Linked DNA regions of Caenorhabditis elegans. The protein of the gene in region 2 interacts with the protein of the main gene of each other region in a pairwise test. Each region holds a gene or a part of one and is shown on either strand. Other genes may lie near its edges. The genes, in order: F57B9.8 and lev-9.

Region 1 (4,089 bases), on a different chromosome or scaffold from region 2:
TTCCAAAAATGATTAACTGGGAGCAAATTCTTTTGTTAGTTGTCTGTTAGTATCGGATTTGAATAAAATAAAACATATTCAGCCTCACAAAGCCTGAAACTTGGACGGCTGCTGCTATGTATCAAGCCACAAGATTGTTTGCGTCGAACATGAACCCAAAAATGTGTCAGAGGTATTTAAATGCCGATTTTAGATATATCAGCTCTAAAACCGTTTGATTCAGATTCTACACTCTTGTTCTTCTCCCACGTCTTCGTGACGACATTGATGAATTCAAGAAACTTAACTATCATCTGTATCAAGCCCTCTGCAAAGCTATCTACAAGCCTGCCGCTTTCTTCAAAGGATTGATTCTTCCATTATTAGAAGTGAGTTTAACTTAAATATTTTTCATGTATATTCTTTTTTTCTCAGTCTGGAACATGTACACTTCGTGAAGCTGTTATCTTCAGCTCTGTCCTCACCAAAGTCCCGATTCCAATTTTTCATTCCGCTGCTGCTATGCTTAGGGTAACTTTTGTTTTAAAATATCTCATCAAAAACCTGTTGATATTTCAGATTGCCGAAATGGAATACACTGGAGCTAATTCCGTGTTTCTTCGAGCTCTCATTGATAAGAAGTATGCTTTACCGTATCGTGCAGTCGACGGAGTCGTTAATCACTTCATTCGTCTGAAAACCGATGAACGAGATATGCCAGTTTTGTGGCATCAGTGTCTTTTGGCACTGTGCCAGCGATACAAGAACGATTTGAATGCCGAGCAGAAGGCAGCTATTTATGAGCTGATCAGAGTAAGTTTAATTTTTAAAAACTATTAAAACTTCGAGTTTTATTATCACGAGAACATCTAGTTAGGAGAGTTATTTTCATGGCTTCTTCAGTCTCGAATCCTTACCAGACAATGGACCCGAACTAGGCCCAGAGTTGCCACCTGGACCGTTCGATGCGCTTGACGGTTTCTTCTTGTTACGTCTTCCAGTCTTTTTAGCAGTTTTATCTCTCATCGGATCTGACATTGGTCCAGTAGACATCATTTTTGCACGGAGCTGTCCTGTCGACTTGTTGACCGAGGTTTTATCTTTCTTTCCTGTGATTTCGTACATCATCTGGACAACTTGGCTCATAGTGGGGCGCTGTTGAGGATCGCGAATCCAGCACTTTTTCTGGAAAATTCCACATTGCTATGAAAATAGTGGAATGAAATAGAACTTACAATAACATCGGCAAGCATAGCTGGAGCCTTTTGACTAATCGGCATACGGTAATCATCGCGTCCAACCTTCTGATGTACCTGCACCACCAACATCTCCGGATACGGCTGAGCTCCATTCTCGATCACCTCCCAGCAGAGAATCGAGAAAGCAAACACATCAGTTTGTGGAGTATAAAGGAAGGAAACGATCGTTTCTGGTGAGAGCCATCTGATTGGAACTCTTTTGCTCGGATCCATCTGATACTCCGTTCCAACTCGAGATAAACCGAAGTCAGAGACTTTAGCCTGAACGTTATTAGTTATTAACTTTTAAATTATTTATAACATACAACGCCTTTTCCATAGAGTATGTTTCTGGCCGCAATGTCCCTGTGTATAATGTTTTTGCTGTGAATGTATGCCAGACCAGCTGCCACTTGTGCGATTATATCCAGTTTCTCAGGCCATTGTACCGATGAATTCTTCTGAAGATATTTATCCAGAGCACCACCAGGAACTAACTCCATGACTACTAGCAATGGTTCATCGATTGCAGCCACGCCGTAACATTTTACAACGTTCTTGTGATCGAATCCGCGCATCAGACGTGCTTCTGTGATGATCTCCTTGATTTGTTCTTTAGTCACTTTTTCAAGTTTTGCCTGAAGTTTCGTCATTACTTTTTATATAAAAGTCTAGTCCAACTCACAACTTTTATAGCGACATCTACTGTAGTCGATCCCATTTTCAGCGTCCCAAGCTTTACTTCTCCGAAAGCACCTTCACCAAGAACTTTTGTCATTGTAATATCGGCGTGATTCAGTTCCCATGATTGTCTACCGATAGGATTCACTAGAACACTGCTTGCAACTTCCTGAACAACAATAATTAGTCTATAATGTGCATGAATCGCTCGTACCTCACTAATTTTAGCCTGTTTGTGATGATTTACTAACTCAGTCAATGTTCCAAATTTAATTTTATCAGTGATTGAATATGCTCCGTCGCTTGTACGAATCACATAATGAGCAACTTCTTGACTTGTCTCGTTCTGCATCACCGAAATGATCAAATGACGTGCTTGTCCTTGAGGCTCTGACGTTCTCATCAGATAATCGCCATTTTTTTGAAGTAAAAGCTGAAAAAGTCGGTGCTCCTTTTAAATAAATATTACTCTCAAATTACCTTTACTTCTTCTCGTGGAAGAAGTCCGTGAAAGAATGGTTGCTCATTGATCTCCATTGCGCCAATTATGTGAAAAGAGTGTAGAATTAATTTCTACGATTATCGAAATGATTAAAATTTCACTTCTGATCGATCTTATGCGTGTTTTCTTCTTTTTTTTAATTTTTTTCCTGGCGTATGGGTTCACATCATTGGTCACGTAAATTTTTTTTTCATAATTATAAAGTTTAAGTCAGGTAATTTCCGAAGTTTTATGGTCCCATGAGTTCAATGTTTCCATTGTTTTTAACCAATTTCAATTTATAGTTCCATGGACACTATCTCATCTCGCCTGAAATTCGCCGTGAGCTCGAATCCAAGGAAACCGAAGACGGACATGTTATCACTTCAGTTGTGGTCGAAGGCCGAAAGACGGATAGTATGGAATTCTAAATCACACACAAACAGAAAGAGACGCAGAAGAGAAATATTTCCCGCTTTCACTCTATTCTGCACGTAGGCTTTGCTCTTTTCTTCTATTTCCATTATTGTTCGTTTCCCCGCGCCCCTCCCCAAAAATTGTTCATTTCTTTGTTTTTTATTCATCATTGTTGGTTATGTTACTCTCTTCCTCATTCAAATGAAATTGTTGTTGATTTTCTAAATACAAAGTATTAGTTTCAAAGAGCAAAGGTTTTCGTCCCTAACTTAATGCTTGTTTTTTCAAATTCATGTTATCATGTCTTTGACGAGAGAAAGTTTTCAGATTCGTCAAAAAAAAATGATAACCAGGTCAATAGGTATCGCTAGAAGATCCAATTCGATTAATTGCATTGTTGGATCAAATACAAGCACTTCATATAGTTTAGATGAATCAACAAAAAGATGGATTTCCACTAGGTTCAGAATTCGAAAATTTTAATTTTAATTGTTATAATTTTAGTACAAAACAACCAATGTCACTGATACCAACTGCAAGTAGCCTTGTTGCTTCTTCTCCGCCAAATTTGAAGCCATATCTTCAACTGATGAGAGTCGACAAGCCTATCGGTAATTTATTATTACACAGACGCGAAGTTTTGGGAGTTTTGCGCCGAAAATACGATACCTAGTCTCGACGCGATTAATTTTGTAAAATACAAACAAATGTGCGCCTTTAAGAGTACTGTAGTTTTAATCGATTTTGAAAATTCGATGAAAATTCCGCAGCAACGAAAGTTTGGAAGTTACAGTAATCTTTAAAGGCACGCACCTTTCTGCATTCAACAAAATGTTGTCGTGTCGAGACCACGTACTGTACTTTCGGCGCAAAAATTTTCACGTGCGCAATTGGTTTGATTTGAGTCCTTAACGTTTATTTTTCAGGTACCTGGCTCCTGTATTGGCCATGCACATGGAGCATAGCAATGGCAACTCCAGCTGGTCAATTACCATCTATCTACATGCTTTCTTTGTTCGGAGCTGGTGCTTTTTTGATGAGAAGTGCCGGATGTGTTATCAATGATTTGTGGGATAAGGATTTTGATAAGAAGGTTTTTCAAAATGAGAAGTAAAAAAAAACCGAAAACTGTTTCAGGTTGAACGAACGAAACTAAGACCATTAGCATGTGGCTCGTTGACTGAAAAGCAAGCAATTGGGCTTTTGGCAGGACTTCTCAGTTCTTCGCTTGCTATTCTGCTACAATTGAATTGGTACAGGTAAGGCCGGTGGAAATATTTACGAAGTTGAAGG
Region 2 (5,313 bases):
CTGTCAAAATGTGGCAATTTTTGAGTTTTCGCCAATATTCGAGATAAATATAGCACTGTCGCATGCTCGAATCCCTACAATGTTTAAATATTAATGTTTGAAACAAGAACATAAAATTCAAAGGAAATTTTTTCAATAGACAACTTTTAAAGATGGATGCAGAAACTGAGTTTTTACCACTTATTGAAACAAAATAAGAAGTTTCGTAAAGTGCTAATATAATAGTTGGCTATTTTTGCACCATAGAAGTCGTTTTTAACAATTTCCGCACTGGCGTTACTCCACTTAAGACTACCGTCTCACCATGGAGCTCTTATCTCTAGCTAGATCAGTCTTACTTTGTGAAAATTTTAGTCATTTTTTTTTTGGCAAGATTAATAAAGCAAGCACATGTGTTTTCCAATTTGAACATAACAACAAATTAGAAACAAATTTGTTTGAAACAAAGTTTTTAAAACATTTTGTTAGGTATTTTTGTCTCAGTTTATATTTTTATCAAAACTTACGTATATGTTTGATGAATTTGAATGCAACGACCAAACATATCAACTTTGAAATTGTGAGAAATGTTGCATTTGCCACTTGTGTCGAGCACTCTCCAAGCGATCCATCTTCTAATAATTCGAATTCTTCATACCCGTGACCATTATCCATTTTCTGAAAATTTTTGAAATTGATGAAATATTAACGATTACCAAACGGCAAAAAAACTAAAAAGCTAGAAAAAACCTAGAATTAACCCAGAAAACCCAATTCAAACCAAAACAAAAACAACTGTCTGTACGAGTGAAATAGAGCGAATTTGCATAGTTCTTGCGTCTAACAAAAGGGGACAAATGTAAACGAGGCTACGCCGGAATGTGGGGAGAGGTCACACACAACAGATGTGCCTTGGACATGCAACCAAAGTTTTATGGTCGGATCGGTCAAGTGAAGTACATTTAAGCGTAACATGGTAAATCAAACAAATGGAACCAAAAAAAGTATAGTTTTGTTGGGGGAAGATTTGAGTGTCCCTAAAAGAATTAAAGTTTTATTTCGGAGATTGCGGTTCATTTTTACAACGGTCAGCACTATTGTTTGATGAGTTCATTTTACAGATATGTGATGAAATTACAAATTACATATTTAAAATGAAAAAAGACAAGATAACAGTTTTTGCAAAAAATAATGTTTAAGATCATCTCTTGTTTTCTCAATAATAGAGAGCAATAAAAAACCATTTTCCAAAAAAAAAAAAATGAAATTAGCTGCACTTTCTCGTCCGCGAGAAGCTATTTTTCTTCATCTCAACAGCAAACCAACAACTCGCAGAACACCCCCCCCCCCCCCGCTTCACAGGAACACCTCGCGGGGAGGCAACCAGTTTGTCAATGGGTGAGAGAGAAAATGTATGTATATTCACTTGCGTCTCTTACTCAAATGCCGTACGGGGGTATAGCTCAGGGGTAGAGCGCTCGCTTTGCATGCGAGAAGTCTGGGGTTCGATTCCCCATACCTCCAGATATTTTTTTATTTTTCAAAATGATTTTTTCACTTGTCCAATTTATTCCATTTCGAGAATGTTTTTTGCACTTTTTTTAAAATTCAACTATGGGGAAACAGTTCTGAAATAGCAAGCATTAATTATTGTTCTAAAAGTGCGGCGATTTGACAGAAATTTTCATTTTCGGCCATCTGCCGAAACTAAACTCAATTTGCCAAATACTTTTTAAGGGATTTTTCATAAGCAAAACATTTACAATTGTAACCTGTTTCCTGTTTTTTTATATTTTTCAGTCTACCAATTTTTTTGCAAAATCTCAAACTTCCACAATCATTCAAACCTAAAAGGCGATTTCCAAATAGGACGTTTGCCAAAAAATATGATTTGTCGCCCCTGCGATAAACTTGTATTTCTTCACTGATATTTCTCAAAATTCTCCCCTTTTTTGAATTCAAATTTTGGAGAAAAATAAAATAAAAAAATAAAGATTTTTCTGTAACCCTGTGAAAGTTGTGAAAACCGCAAAAATCACATCAAAATACCTTCACCTCTAATTTTTCAGCAGTCAGTTCCTATTTGCCACAATGTCCCGCAGCAAATAATTGATCAGACAAGCATGATACTCGAGCAACTTTACAATGGGAACCCTTGAAAAGACCCCAATCAATCAATACATTGCGTGTCAGCTGGTGAAAGAATGCCGTCTTGCAAGAACTCAAGCGGATTTCTCTTTTAAAATTTTCATAGTACCAAATCACATGAATTAAATGCGATTTCTACTACTACTCGCCATCTCCATTACCTACGCGTCGGCCCTATCTTGTCCGGAAGTTACTCTATCACAACGGCCGAAACATTGCAAAAAAGAGTGTATAGCAGACGAAGATTGTAAAAGAAACAAAAGATGTATGTGCGACGGAGAATGTGGCTTGAGCTGTGTGAACCCAAGTGAGTGATAAAAATATCTTGTCTATTGAGCAATATAAAAAATGAACTTTTTTGTTTTTATTCAGTTGCAATGTGCCACCCACTTCCAAATATTGAAAATGGATTTATACGAACTGCTGGTGATTTGCGATTTGGATCAAATGCAGAATATGGATGCAACAAGGGATATATACTAGTTGGTGCCAGTCAGAGAAGATGTCAGGCTAACAAAGAATGGAGTTCTTCACAACCTGTTTGCAGGTTACAATGTATTTTTTCAAGTTCCTTATTTAAAAAAATTATGTTTACGGGTTCAAAATAAAATAAGAAGATTTTTTAAGTGCACAAATAGTTAAACCTAAGTTTTTTGAAAAAACAATATAAAGATATAACAAAATTTATAGCAAGATAAACAAAAAATCAAATGCACTAAAAGATAATATCAAAATATCACCAATTTTGTGAAACAAACAATTTCAAATCTACTTTACTCAACGAAAAAAGATTTCAGCTTTTATCGAGCAGTTGATAAATTTAGTTGATTGGTGGCGGTGAGCTGTCAGCTGTCAAGTGGTTTAAAATTTAAAAAAAAAACGGTTAGGGGTATTCAGAAATAAATTAGCCTTACAAAAAAGGTTTTCACCACTAAAGTTCAATCTAACCAAATCAACTTGATTGAATACCAAAACATCGATCCAGAATATCTAGGAATTTTGTTTAAGAATTTTCTAAATTATGTGACTACAGAATTGCATGATTCCTCATCCAATGCTTTACGTTTCTTATCGACACTGCCGTATAATCCCAAAATATTTCAGTAAAATGCGGGCCACCACCGGAAATTCCATTTGCCGTTCACGACGGGTCTTCATTTTCCGGAGAGTATGACCTTGATGCTGAAGTTGCTTATAATTGCATACCAGGCTATCACAAATTCAACGCAAAAGTGAGACTTAAATCAAAATTCTCCATTTTATCTTTAAAAATAATGCTTACAGGGTCTTTCAATATCAAAATGTCTGTTGAATCGGAAAAATGTTGCACAATGGTTTGGACCTGATTTGAGATGTAAAGGTAAAACTTTGAAAATTTGAAAAAATGCGAAAAACTTAAACTTGCCCAATAAGTCAATGCAACTTTTAGCAAGAGCATGTCCGGATCCCGGAGATATAGAAAATGGTCTTCGAGAGGGAGATACATTTGAATATCCCCATCACGTCAAGTATTCATGTAACCCTGGTTTTCTTCTTGTCGGTTCGACTTCCCGTCAATGCTCCAGTAACGGAGAATGGACAAATGAGCCGGCTAATTGTAAAGGTACACTTTGAAAAAATTGAAAAAAAAAAACAATAAAAATGTTTTGTTGGTAGCCAGTTTGTTTTATTGAGCAACAAGTCAGTTTCGTTCGCTGGTGGCAACCGCAATATATCCACAGTAACCCTAAATCTTACAAAACTCTCTTGAGTAGAAATTGTGTGAATAGTGTTCCATGATCTGTGTGCGCGGACCACTCAAAATACCCAGAAAACGTAAGATGTTCGGGCGATAGTTATCCATCACGGACCTCGATAGTTGTACCACACGTTTTATATAGGCCACAAAAAAGATCAAAAATCAGAATACATAAGGACATACTGAAATACACTGCAAATTACCTATGTTATAATAAATTAACAACTCATAAACTTTTCCAGCTACTGAATGCTCTCGTCCGTCAAGCCCACTTCATGGAAAAGTTGTCGGTAGCTCATTGACATACCAGTCCGTTGTGACGTACTCCTGTGATCATGGTTATCGCCTCGTTGGTCAAGTTCAACGAATATGTTTAGCTGAGGGAATATGGGGAGGAAATGAGCCGCGATGTGAAGAAATTCGATGTTCAGTACTTCCAACCCTTCCCAATGGATACATTGAGGGCAGTGAAACGTCATTCGGAGCTGTCGCAGTTTTCAGGTAACGATTTTCCAAATCTAAACAAATTTATGTTTCTTAAATGTTTAAATTCAGGTGCTTGGAAACAATGACTCACGAGGGAGCGTCAAAGGCAAAATGCATGGAAGATGGTCAATGGAGTGCTCCGATTCCAAGATGTTTAGCTTCTTGTAGAGTACCACATATACAAAATGGAAAAATAAGAGACAAAAGCGAAGGTCAACTCATTGCGTCCGGTAGTTGTTTTTCTAAAGTTTAGAATAATTCATTCAAGTTTCAGGTTCCAAAGTGATTGTTGAATGCAATAAGCAACACGAAGCAAACATCGATGAACGCCTAATTTGTAGCAATTCCACATGGTCACATGTTCCAGTTTGTAGTCCTTGTAAGTTTAATTTTAAAATAGCATAAAACCACAGCTTTTCTTTTCAGTAAGCTGCCACAATTGGCCGCCAAGGGTTCCACATGCTCGAATTCTATTCTCGAAATCATCGCACGGCTCAATCGCCAAATATGAATGCAACAATGGTTATCATCCAAACAGAAATAATCAAATTATAAAATGTCTTTATGGAGAATGGACTAAAGACGGACCACCAATGAAATGTTTACCAAGTGCGTTACTCACAGGCCGAAAAGTGGTACACATCTGTCCAATTTTTCTACCGCATACTTTGACGTAGAGGTGTCAACGTGTTGTGGGCCGATCCAAAACTCAGTCGCAGGCCGACACATTACCACCTCTGATCTTTAGACGCATTTTTCTCCAAAAAGGGTGATCATTTGTAAATGATGTATCAAACCACAAGAAACATCATAATGATTGGATCAAACATTTTTTCCTTTTGCTCCGTTGCACTGACTACTTGCATTTGCGCTGATCACTTGCATTTGCACTGACCACTTGCATTTGCACTGATCACTTGCATTTGCACTGACCACTTGCAGTTGCACTGATTACTTGGATT

Evidence for each region.
Region 1: the proteins of lev-9 (region 2) and F57B9.8 interact in a two-hybrid assay, tested with the Caenorhabditis elegans proteins (one large-scale study listed by BioGRID).

The regions. Positions count from the first base shown.
Region 1 is NC_003281.10:6,932,844-6,936,932, forward strand, and holds F57B9.8 (Tyrosine-protein kinase), read right to left. Parts: upstream 2,477-4,089; 5' UTR 2,436-2,476; coding exon 2,379-2,435; intron 2,332-2,378; coding exon 2,113-2,331; intron 2,068-2,112; coding exon 1,903-2,067; intron 1,856-1,902; coding exon 1,544-1,855; intron 1,500-1,543; coding exon 1,215-1,499; intron 1,165-1,214; coding exon 868-1,164; 3' UTR 818-867; downstream 1-817. Other genes in the region: Cell adhesion protein byn-1, read left to right, coding at 1-34, 83-172, 224-368, 415-510, 559-792, 2,685-2,810; coq-2 (4-hydroxybenzoate polyprenyltransferase, mitochondrial), read left to right, coding at 3,139-3,257, 3,301-3,407, 3,723-3,889, 3,934-4,055.
Region 2 is NC_003284.9:6,288,468-6,293,780, reverse strand, and holds the start of lev-9 (Protein lev-9), read left to right. Parts: upstream 1-2,231; 5' UTR 2,232-2,253; coding exon 2,254-2,434; intron 2,435-2,499; coding exon 2,500-2,682; intron 2,683-3,231; coding exon 3,232-3,359; intron 3,360-3,411; coding exon 3,412-3,487; intron 3,488-3,556; coding exon 3,557-3,730; intron 3,731-4,107; coding exon 4,108-4,366; intron 4,367-4,420; coding exon 4,421-4,581; intron 4,582-4,625; coding exon 4,626-4,730; intron 4,731-4,777; coding exon 4,778-4,960; intron 4,961-5,313. Other genes in the region: mom-1 (Protein-serine O-palmitoleoyltransferase porcupine), read right to left, coding at 507-654. UniProt on the Caenorhabditis elegans protein: Scaffolding protein that is necessary to cluster acetylcholine receptors at neuromuscular junctions.